2 linked regions of the Caenorhabditis elegans genome follow. The protein of the gene in region 2 purifies or fractionates together with the protein of the main gene of each other region. This does not show direct contact. Each region holds a gene or a part of one and is shown on either strand. Other genes may lie near its edges.

Region 1 (6,311 bases), 6.2 Mb from region 2:
AAATGTTTTCGAAAAATTAAATTTTGAATTCCCGCCAAAATATTTTCAAAAAATTAAACTTTTAAATTCCCGCCAAAATATTTTCAAAAAATTAAAATTTAAATTCCCGCCAAAATGTTTTCGAAAAATTAAATTTTGAATTCCCGCCAAAATATTTTCAAAAAATTAAAATTTTAAATTCCCGCCAAAATGATTTCTCAGAAAATTTGAATTTCCCGCCAATTTGTGATGACGTCACAAAAGGGGCGGGGCTATAGGACCCCTCTTAGGTGATTGAGACTACAAACTACAGAGTTCAAAGACCAAAGATCAAAGATCAAACTACATAGGGACAGAAGGACACGCGCTTTATATATAGTAAATGATTTAATTTTCAATATTTTTAACATTCTTTGAATAACATTCTTTGATAAAATACACCGATAATTGCAGAGATAGCGAGAGCGAGGAGTGTGATGGATAAACGTGAGAAGTCAGGGACCATTTGATGGAAAGAATCATAATTAAGGGGCGAGGTACGTTTTTCTTCGAAAGAAATTAGGGATGTAATTGAGATAGAAAGGCTTGAGTTGGAAATTTTGAAAGTTGATTTCGGGAAAACAAATGCTAAAAATGAAAATTGAAAAAAAATACAGAAAAACAGCATTTAAACGCTGTAAAAAACTAATAGAACATCATAAAAGAACGTTAAAATTTGAGGAAAAATCCTAGAAAACATATTAGAAGGCACCATTGTTGGATAAATATTTAATTAGGAACGTAGGCATCAAAAATATTAACCAATGTTTCTAATGAAAAGAACCATGTGTACTTGAGGAACCTGTCCTTTTTGTATTCGTTTCTGTAAAACACACTGTTCATTGATGATTCATTGATCCTGAATAAAACTCACGCTACATGACAATGAGAGCAGAAGGGGTACGAATCTACTGATAAGTCCTCTGTGGTGTACCATCTGACAATGTTGAAGATTTCAGATGTACAGTATTTACATCGTTGAACGCGATCAGCAAGCTTCCATTCGCTAGCGTCTCCAACAATGTAGTCATGATGATCAATAAGATCAAAGTACCACTTTGAATGGGCAAGTGATCTGAAATTAGATTGAGCATTGTTTAGAAAATAGCAAATTTTTATTATCATATGTACTAACCTGATCATGACACCGCGCATGGCTTTATACATCTCGGGATCGTCGACGAAAAGCCTCTGACGTGCAGCATTCCAAACGAGATTTACCAATGGAACATGCGCCTGGTTCCCAATGAGCATATTGTGATCGTGAGCCACTATTGAGGTAGCCAGCTGAGTGAAGTTTGGCTGTCCGACATTCCAAGATACATTGATGCAGAAGCTATTGCTCTGCACCCAATGGAAACATCCAGTATTGACATATACCATCTCGTCAGCTTTTTGCTCGAATTTAATTACAGGAACTCCCAGCTCCAGTAATTCCTTTTCGCTTGGCCAATAGTCTTGATCCTGGTACTTGTGCCCGTGCTCTCCAATCATAAACTCCAGCTGCCCCCAATACTCGTACGGCACAGCAAACCAGACGCACGTTCCCGGACCGCGGTTCCAGTTGATGCTAGCCATGAGTGAGTTTTCCATGTGTGCTGGAGTGCGTGATCCGATTGGTTTCGCGTACATCTGTACAGTATTGATGCCGAGAACGTCTACTCCTGCGTAGTTGAGCAAGTTTCCTTCACGGTTTGGTAGCAGGAACGTCGGCAGCTTTTCGATTTCCTGTAAGAACATAGAGAATTAGATAAATTATTTTGAAAAATGTAGAATATCACTAACATTCATCTGCTTCTTGAAATTTTCGGAAAGCAAGTCGATATTTGTTCCAAACTTGATCCAAGGCATTGTTTCATCACAGCCCTCAATTGCGTTTTGAGCTGCAATTCTCTCAGCTTTCAATTTCTGGCATGTGCTCTCTAATTCTTTTGCTGTGCAGTTTGAAATCGTTTCGAAAGCTTAAAAACAAAGATTAAAAATCTTATGTTCAAAAGTCAATATTACCTTGCATTGCTTCAGACTCCTCCTTCTGCATGTACCTCTCGAAATCTTGCAGCTTCATCTTAGAAGAGTACGATGTAACATCCCAACAACGAATTCCTTTACTATCACAGTTTCCATCGGCACTTTGTGGTACTTGGTTAAGAATATCAATGGATAATTCAGGATGACACTTTGCAATTTCTGGCAGTGAAAACAGTTCAGTCTTGATGTTCAGAGCCTTTGCGATTCCGCTAATGTTGGTGATGCTCGCTGAGTTCAAAATGCGCTCAAAATCCGACGAGAATACTTCTTCTTTGGTGGTGACTGTGAGAGTTGGACATGGTATGCGGTATTTGTGATAGTCAGTAAGATCTTTGACTTGCTCGTGATACATCGCTCTTTCCAGATCCAAAAGTGTCTTATCGGCAACCGGAGGCTGTAGTCGTTCATCTTTGTAAACGGCGTTGACATGAAATTCGAGTAATTGACCTGCCGCTTCGAGGACTTCTTGTGATGTACAATAGAAGTTGAGATATAATGGTCCAGTTAGCAAAAGGGCTGGTGGATTGGCAGGAACTTCACTTTTTCGTTTTCCTTCTCTTCGCTTTGGCGGTACTACTACACGAATGGTAAGATCTTTCAAATAATCCTGACAATGTCGATAGTTTCCTTGATCCGGGAAAATTGTATTCAGCTGAATGGCAGCACGCATGTAGTGAGAATCTTGGGTTTTCTGAAATATTAGTTTTTGGTTTTTTAACAATAATTTTCAATGCGGACTGACTTGAAATTGAAGAATGAATTTGTCAACTCTGTCTTGCCTTGATTTCGACAGTTTTACTATTTTATCATTCTTTTTAGACATGAAGTCACGAACAAATATCAACTGCTGAGCCATAGTCCAAGCCCCAGAAGCATCACGAAATTCAATTTGATAATTAATCGTCCGTCTTTTTGGTGGTCCATCATCTTCCTCATCGTCAGATTGGTTCTTTTTCATGCGGCGTTTTCGGATCTGTAAATTATGCATTAAACTGAGAATAGATTAGTTATGAAATTTACCGTATTTGGGTTTTTAGTATATGCTCTTTTCGTCCTGGGTATAGGGGGTTCGGTTGCAGATTGTTCCTTCTTCTTTCGACCACGCTTTTTTATTGGTGTAGGCTCCCTTGTTGCATCAGAAGAGCATGAAGGAGCGGAAGAGTCCAATCCAATGTCAATCGACGTGCGGGGGCAATAATCATCTACACTTCCTGCATTAGATTCCGTTTGATTAGCCACAGAGGTTGTTTCTGTAAATTCGCTTGAAGTAGAAGCAGGTTGATAATCAAGCGATTCGTTTTTAGGACTCCATGATTTTTGGTCATCGTCAGAAATTTCTGAATCTCCAGAAGTTGTCCCAATCGAACTTCCGACACTGTTGGTATGCTGCACAGGCACAGGTTTCAACGTCGTTTCTGAAAAAAATATTATCGTTCAGAAATTAATAACTGGTAACTGTTGCTCTCACCATTGTCACTGAGTGATTTCTCAGTTTTCTCCGAGATCAGTTTTTCAAGATGCTGATTGTTGCCAATTTGTTCAGTCATATCAGAGAGCTTGTCGTTTGAACCACTGCCAATGAGAACATCAGGCGTTTCGACTTTTTCCAAATTTTTTGGTTTTGAAACTACATTGCTGTCTGTAAATGTTCCCAGTAAGTATTAGAATGTTTCCAAATTAGTTTAACTATGTATTTTGTTTCAATTTTTCAAAAGCTATCAAAATCATAGTTACATCAAAGAATGAAAAAAATATTTTATACTTAAACAATCTACTAACCATTCATAATCACATCGCCCGAAATGATTTCTTCAGAATCCGTAGAAACGTGTACTGTCGGGAGAACAACGTCTTCAATGTTGCACTCAGTTTCACTATTGATCAAATCTTTAAAATCTTCACTCTCATTTCCTTGTTCTGAATGGGCCTCTGGGCATGCTTCGAAAACGCCATTGGATTCTTGGAGCTGATCAGCAAAGTTATCAAATCCTGCAATTCGTATAGCCTCGTTGGTAGATCTGCAATTCTGGTCAGTAGAACTCTTTGGAGATACTGTCAACGATTCAATGGGAAGATTTTTCTGAACATCTACAACCAGCTCATCCTTGAAACTATCGTTTTTGAGTGGATTCAACACAGTATCAGAATACACGCCAAGGGTTTGATTTTTAAAATCAAAGCTTTTAGGAGCATCTTGCTCTTGATCAATAGTCTGAGCTTCCGGTTGCTTGGTCGAGTTGAATTCTACTGGCCTCATGGTGGAGTTCATTCCGGGAAATGGTGGAGTTTCCTGTGAGTTTTTAACCAATGACATACTTCTTGGGCTTGCTCCGAAAATAGTAACTAAACATAAGTAGTATAAGATGAGGTAGCAAAAATTGAAAAGAGGAATGCTGCCCGCGTTTTTAGGTGTATAAATTTGCGGAAACGTGCACTCGTGCTTAATTAATTAGATACCTTGCTTGTTAATCTTTAAATATCAAAGTCATATCCGTATTAAAATATGACTAATGTAATTGAATCTTATGTAGAACTTTCGCATGAATGCACTAATCTTTTCAGTTCGACTTTTGGTCGCCAACTGGTCACTATAGCAAAAATGCAAAGTAACTCACAATGTGTAGTTCCAGTTATTCCAGTCAAGTGTGAATTTTTCCCTTGCATACGATGGTAAATGCTGGGGAACAAACTGTAAATATGAGTTTATAGGTGGGTAGGTAGATCCAAGAAGCGATTATTGAAAAAAAAAGAAAACAGTTCGGACAAAAAATTTGTAAGAATTTAATTAGGCACGTGAGAAAGCCGAAGTTCTAGTTAGGCACTTCAATGATAATGACGTAGATAATTAAGATGTAACTGAAAAGGTGCCAATCTAAAATAAGGGTTTAAGTTTACTCAAATACACATGTATAAACCAGGTCAAATCCATTTATTGAATCAAGTTAATCATGAGGAGATAAGCAGGAAACACGATGCGTAGGTGAGAACATTGCCAGGCTCTGAATAATTTTTTAAAGCTTGAGTTGAAGTGATAAAAGCAGATCGAAAAAGCAAACATTTTAGTTTGATTAAATCTCAAATTTAGAATCCCATCAAACTATTAATAGAGAGTACGTGCACATTTGTAGACATTCCCGGATCTTTACATAACTTAAAGTACATATATCTGCCCTTTTCATGAACTTTGGCATTATCTATGCATTCACAGTATTATTGGTTAATCCAGCTGCCATTTCATTTTTGTCTAGGGTTAATTTTAGAAAAGAAACACAACTAGAATACAAAATACAACAAAATAGTAAACTAGCATTTACAGTAGTTTTGTTTACTGCCCATCCCACGATGTCAATGAATGAAGTATGGACGAACGACGTCAAACGAGGAGGTAGAAAAGATAGCGTGGTTTTTTTTTCGTTTTGTTTTTGTTGTTGACGGGGCATACACTGACTAGCTATAGATGGCTGTGCGTTGTGCACACGCACGTAAATAAATATCAAACGAGGAACGGCGCTCGAGGAAAAATAAAGAACGAGACGTTGCTTCTCTGCTTGCTTGTTGGTTAGATATATTGAGACTAGCCACGTGTGAAAAGAACGCAACACGGCCGAACACGCAATCTATTTGGCTCCAGTCGAGTAAATAACTAAGCTCGTGAGAAGAAAGAGTGAAGGGACTAATAAGATGTGGCCTGCCCAATATTTAATGTATATGTCATGTTGTCATTGCAATACATTCACAAATCTACTTTTGAACATTAATTAGACAATAAAACTGAAATTTGCTAGGTTCTTTTGAATCAAAAATAAAACAATTTGAAACAACACGTGTGTGAAATTGAAAAAAGTACACCGCTTTTTTGGTCTAACATATGAAACTAAGTAGCTTCTTTTAGTGTACAACATATACGTTTTTGATCAAACTAATCAAGATAAAAATAGTTAAGATTAATTATTTTCGCAACATAGTACGTTTTCCTACTTTCTCCTACTAGTTTGCTCAAAGCTATTTTCAACATGGCATGGAGAATTTCAATGATTTGCTTTACTTTATGAAATTATCTGCATAAAAGTATGCGATATACGGTATTGTAAACGTAGCCAAAAATTGAATGCCTATCATTAAATTGTGCGACTCATTCTTTGGCGCGGTGCGCAAAACAAACGGGGTGATAAAATATATTAGCTCATAAAGCAGTGAATTTTTACCGTCCCTTTTCATTGGTTGGCCTATTTGATGTTTGATTCAAAAAAATGGGAAGAAAAACG
Region 2 (4,874 bases):
AAAGGAAATTTTACAAGCACACAGTTCAGTCGTTTCAGCGTTTCAGTCGTAAAATTTTGTTTCGTGAGCGTTGATATGTAAAGTGAGTTGACATTGTGAAATAAGTGCTGGATGGTACAAGACGTTCCGATGTCGAAAAATAGAAGGACGAGAAAAAAAAAACAACGCTGTCGTAAACCTGCTCTTTAAGTTTAGTCTGCCGATTGAAGCTGTGTATTAAAATATTTCTGTCAAGCATTTTTAAAAGGGAAGAATTAATTTCCCCACCATTATCAGAAAAAATTTCAAATGAATGCAACAAATCTAAAGCTATGTTATTGTATTTAATATTTGTATTACAAACTGCAAATACTGGAAAACTGTACAAACACGTGGTGTCAGAGTGTCTTATTTCGGTTTGATCTGCGTAGATCTACAAAAAATGCGGGAGAAGAGACGCAGAGTTCTCAACTGATTTCTCATGGTTAAAAATGTGCTGACGTCACATTTTTTTTTGGGAGAAAAATTCCCGCATTTTTTGTAGATCAAACCGTGATGGGACAGCCTGGCACCACGTGCATAAACAATATTCTTTATACAAACGGGGTGGTTCATAATTATGGGGTCCAGTTTACAACAGTGCAACTTTTTTTTGAAGTTGGAACAACACAACTGAATACCTACTTTAATTGCAGAAAAACCTTATGCATTCAAGTGGCTACAAGACCTCGCGTTCCGAAACTACAAATAAAATAAAACCCAATATAACACAACTTATATAATAATATTTCAGCTTCAATTCAACACCATGATAAATATTTTTGATAATTCCAGCATCCCTGAAAACGAACTTTGCGCACTCACTCACACCTGGAAACATCTTAGCAACTACGGTAGATCTGAAACATCGTTGCTTTAGTGAAAAGAAAAATACCGACTTGAGAACAATATTCTGTGTATATAAATGTTTTATCAAAGCAATTGTGATAACTTCGCCAAGTTGATAACTATGAGCAATATTACACTTCACTTGCACGACTTCAAATGCTGGCTCCTGGCTTGTTCCTAAAAGAAGATGGTCACAAATAGCCAAACACTCTACATTCTTGATTCCAGATACCGTAATCTGCAATAGGACACACGAATCTCCATCAATTTTCTTCGCTATCCTCTCATCCTCTCCCATCTCTTTATTTTTTTGTGCTTCTTCCGTTTTTTTTGTGTTGCCTTCTTCAGTGTTGTCTGTCTGACCTCTCACGTCTCAATTGTTGAAGATTGTGAAGAAGTATGCACAAAAGAGGACCAAGGCGTGGTATGCTATGCTTTCTAGGATGATTGATGAAATCCTTCACTTGACTTTTCTGTGTGTCATACAACTATTTTCTGTAATATTTTTGGTGAGCCACCACACCAGGCTTGAACGTGAAAGGGGTGCGAACAATCTTCCCCCAGCTGCCCCCCCATTTTTTTGCTGTAGAGATTTTCAAAGTTTCGCGCCGTGCCTTCCGGCTAATCAGGCATATCTCCATAACCATAATTCACAGTCAGCTGGCTCAATCCTCACACTCGCTCCGTTATTCCTCTCCTTGTTGCATCTATCAGGCGTACTTGGACGGGAGGCCGTCGGACCCAAACCGCTTGTGACATATAAGAGATTAATCTTTTGCAGAGTCGGTTGTGTAGCTGGTGTTGTTGCCTCCCACTTGATCCGAAAACTGTGGCATGAGTTTGACAGCTCCGCTAAGAGCTGGCCAGATGAACTTCTATGATGAACCTTATAATCCTGTATTAAATCTTCACATTCAACCGTAAGTTGTTTTACATGGCTTTTTAGGCTGCCTTGAAAAACTTGATGCTGGAAAATTGAGCAGAATCTTAATAAATAAATAAAGAGAATCTGGTATGGGAGCTGTACTGATCTGAGGCTCCGGAATACTGGAAGTTGTTAAAATAAAATTTATTTATTTTTGGGTTTGATACCGTTCAGACGTAACTCCTTAATTAAATTTGTCTTAGTAAAAGTCGAAGAGGTTCTACTAGAAGTTAATTCAAATTTATTACGTTTGGTACACAATTTCAAAAACAAGTCCATAATTATGGACCACCCTGTAGGATTAGGTGTTTGTGTATTATATGCCATCATATCTAGGTTATTCATTAATAACCATTACAAAGAAATTTGTTCAATTTTTGAGCTTAGGTTAATATTATTTCCAAGCATACTTCATACTAAACATATCATTCAATGGGTTAAATAATCTGGAAATTATAATATACAACTACATAGATATACAACTATTTCTTAACTAGGAATGAGCCCCCTAAATCACAAAAATACACCTTGTAAGCATCTTTTCTAAACCTGTCTATTTTCTAAAAACATTTTGATACCATATTCCTGAATACCAAAATGTGTATCTTTAAGGTGATTCATACCTCATTATTATGTTTGAAAGCCTCCTCATTCTCAATGCACTATTGGCTAAAGTTTTAGTCATTCTAACGAATCTATGACAATAGCTGTATACTAGCTATCACAAGCTAAATATCTCTTCGCTCATAATATTTTCCGTCTATCCTCAAACTCAACAGTTGTATATTCTCTTTTGACTTTGCTTCAATTAGCCGTACTCGGGCTCGTTGCCTAACAACCCACCCTCGGAATTGATAGCCACTATCATCCTTCTTTTTTGTCCATAACAGCCACTCTTATTAGTATTGCTTGGTGAGCGTTAATATTATTATCTGATGAATACTCAAACCTTGGAATCCTTGCTTTTCAGCAATTCTGGTGTCTTTGCGGACCTTCAAAGGTAAGATAGAACTTCTAGGACGACACTTTTGAAATAGAAGAGACCCAACTCCTTTTTTTTTGATGACGTTAGCGGGATTTCATTCCCAAAGGGGAAATTGTAAGGTGTTCATGGCTTGCGATACATTCTTGAGCTTTATTGGCGATGAGTTTAGTAAGTCTAGAATTATGTTTGAAACACTTAAATTAACAATTAACTTAGTAAGTATAACGTCATTTCTATAGCGTCATACGTTGTTATGATTCAGGTGCTGATGTTGAAGATGAACTTTTAGAAATAATTCAAAAAGTACATCATCTTGTTGTTCCCAAACGTTTTTGTAATCCATATTTCTTTCATTTTTCTGCTTGGATTTGAGCATTTTGTTTTTACATAAATTTCTCAATTCCTTCCGAATCTAGAATCCCGTACATGGTGAATGATGAGATTTGGGCTATTGAGATGTTACAAATTGCGTAGATGGCTACAAACTGATAACTGGAAACAAGTGGACAGAGAGAGGCCATCTCCGTTTCGCGCGTTTCGGTTATATATCTCTTATTGCTAGTCCAGAAATATTTGCATATTTCGAAAACGGGGCAGAGCACTCACAAACCCACACACAAACACACATACCAGTTATACGAGTTCGCAGCTGTCTTGTCGGATTTCAAACCATTTACATATATGACAGAGTGAAGTGAGGAGCCCACGAGCACACCACATATCACCATGTTTGGGAAAGATAGTAGAATGCTTCACTTTTTGTGTTGAGTTTTTTTTTTCTGAAATGGGTGAAGGCGTAGGAGCAAAGGAGCAAAGACAAGGAATCGTCTTCTGAACATTTATACAACAAATATTACAATTTCCAATAATCAATTATTAAACATAACATGAAGTCTGTTTCATTTCATTAAAGAGATAATTGCATTTTATGTTAGCTACTCGAAAAGTAGATTTTATTAATTGTTATGTTCGTAAAAATGTTCGTTCAAAACATTTATCAAAAACTCAGAAAATAACATTACTGTCTAGATCACGAAATCTAAAGGGAATTGAAATATAAAAATTTTTCATAATAGCAGCTATACAATAACAAAATAGCATTATCCCAAAAAATATTTTTAAGGGTTTTTTTTAGGAATTTCAGATAACCCATTTTCGTTTTAAATTAAATTAAAAAATTAAACCCATTTTCGTAATGAGATTTTTTGTACACTTTTTGAAAATGTTTCATGGCGGATCTGAACTTTGAAAACAATATTTCGTTTGCATATCGAATTATAATTTTTAGGCCTAAAAATAAAAATAGTACAGGGTTGGTCATTATCAAATTTTACACAAGTATCAAAATATGGTTAAGATGTTTTTTCTAAAATAAATTACAGTTTTATTACGGAACGAAAATACATTCAATAAGCATATATATATATATATATATATATATATATATATATATATATATATATATATTTGATTTTTGGGAACCTCTTAGCCAAGATTACGTAACAGAACAAAATATTTACTATGTTCATAAAACATGAAAAATATATAATTTTCATCTGCTTAAAAAAAAAAGTCGGTAGCGTTTTAAATGAGATCGCAATGGGAGAAGCACGAGAAATAATTATCTTTCGAGCCCAACTTCACCGAGTTGAAAAATTGAAGCACCCCCTAGTTCATCACATGTTTTTGGCTGGGTTTTCTCCCCGCCAAACCAAAACTTTGTCTATGCTTTTATCTGTGCTTCATCGTTACTCCAACATCAGTAAAGCCGGAGCCGCAGTCAAATCGGCCCGTCGCCAGATTCCTTTTTAGCTACTCTCCCCTCAATGTTTTTCCTACTGTGTGCCCACCCATTGGCCCCTAGTGCGCAGTAGGCGGAGCTTGCGAAGCTCTGCCGAGCACGCTTGTGGATCTGTGTCTAATGAGGCCGGTTCCCGAGGGGCCGCTGGCTGTGCAAATGTTCTTTCCTGACTCGAATACCTTACTCAGGTCTGTAAAAGATGAGAACCAGCGGAGCACGTGGCCAATCATCGACACGTCGAATACAAGGTTAGTTTTTAATTTTCTTATTTTTGATCCCTGGTGAAATATTCATTT

Evidence for each region.
Region 1: the proteins of unc-3 (region 2) and jmjd-3.1 purify together in Caenorhabditis elegans (affinity purification with western blotting, with the first as the bait; one study listed by BioGRID). This does not show direct contact.

What each region holds. Positions count from the first base shown.
Region 1 is NC_003284.9:8,569,473-8,575,783, reverse strand, and holds jmjd-3.1 (Lysine-specific demethylase jmjd-3.1), read right to left. Parts: upstream 4,736-6,311; 5' UTR 4,711-4,735; coding exon 4,662-4,710; intron 4,390-4,661; coding exon 3,826-4,389; intron 3,686-3,825; coding exon 3,515-3,685; intron 3,462-3,514; coding exon 3,067-3,461; intron 3,020-3,066; coding exon 2,789-3,019; intron 2,738-2,788; coding exon 2,026-2,737; intron 1,980-2,025; coding exon 1,804-1,979; intron 1,747-1,803; coding exon 1,154-1,746; intron 1,094-1,153; coding exon 893-1,093; intron 842-892; coding exon 748-841; downstream 1-747. UniProt on the Caenorhabditis elegans protein: Histone demethylase that specifically demethylates trimethylated 'Lys-27' of histone H3, a mark associated with transcriptional repression, thereby playing a central role in the histone code.
Region 2 is NC_003284.9:14,771,890-14,776,763, forward strand, and holds the start of unc-3 (Transcription factor unc-3), read left to right. Parts: upstream 1-1,648; 5' UTR 1,649-1,701; coding exon 1,702-1,787; intron 1,788-4,766; coding exon 4,767-4,826; intron 4,827-4,874. UniProt on the Caenorhabditis elegans protein: Transcription factor. Involved in motor neuron fate determination and maintenance, acting as an activator of gene expression in a subset of motor neurons. May act in concert with GFI1 homolog pag-3 in motor neuron fate determination.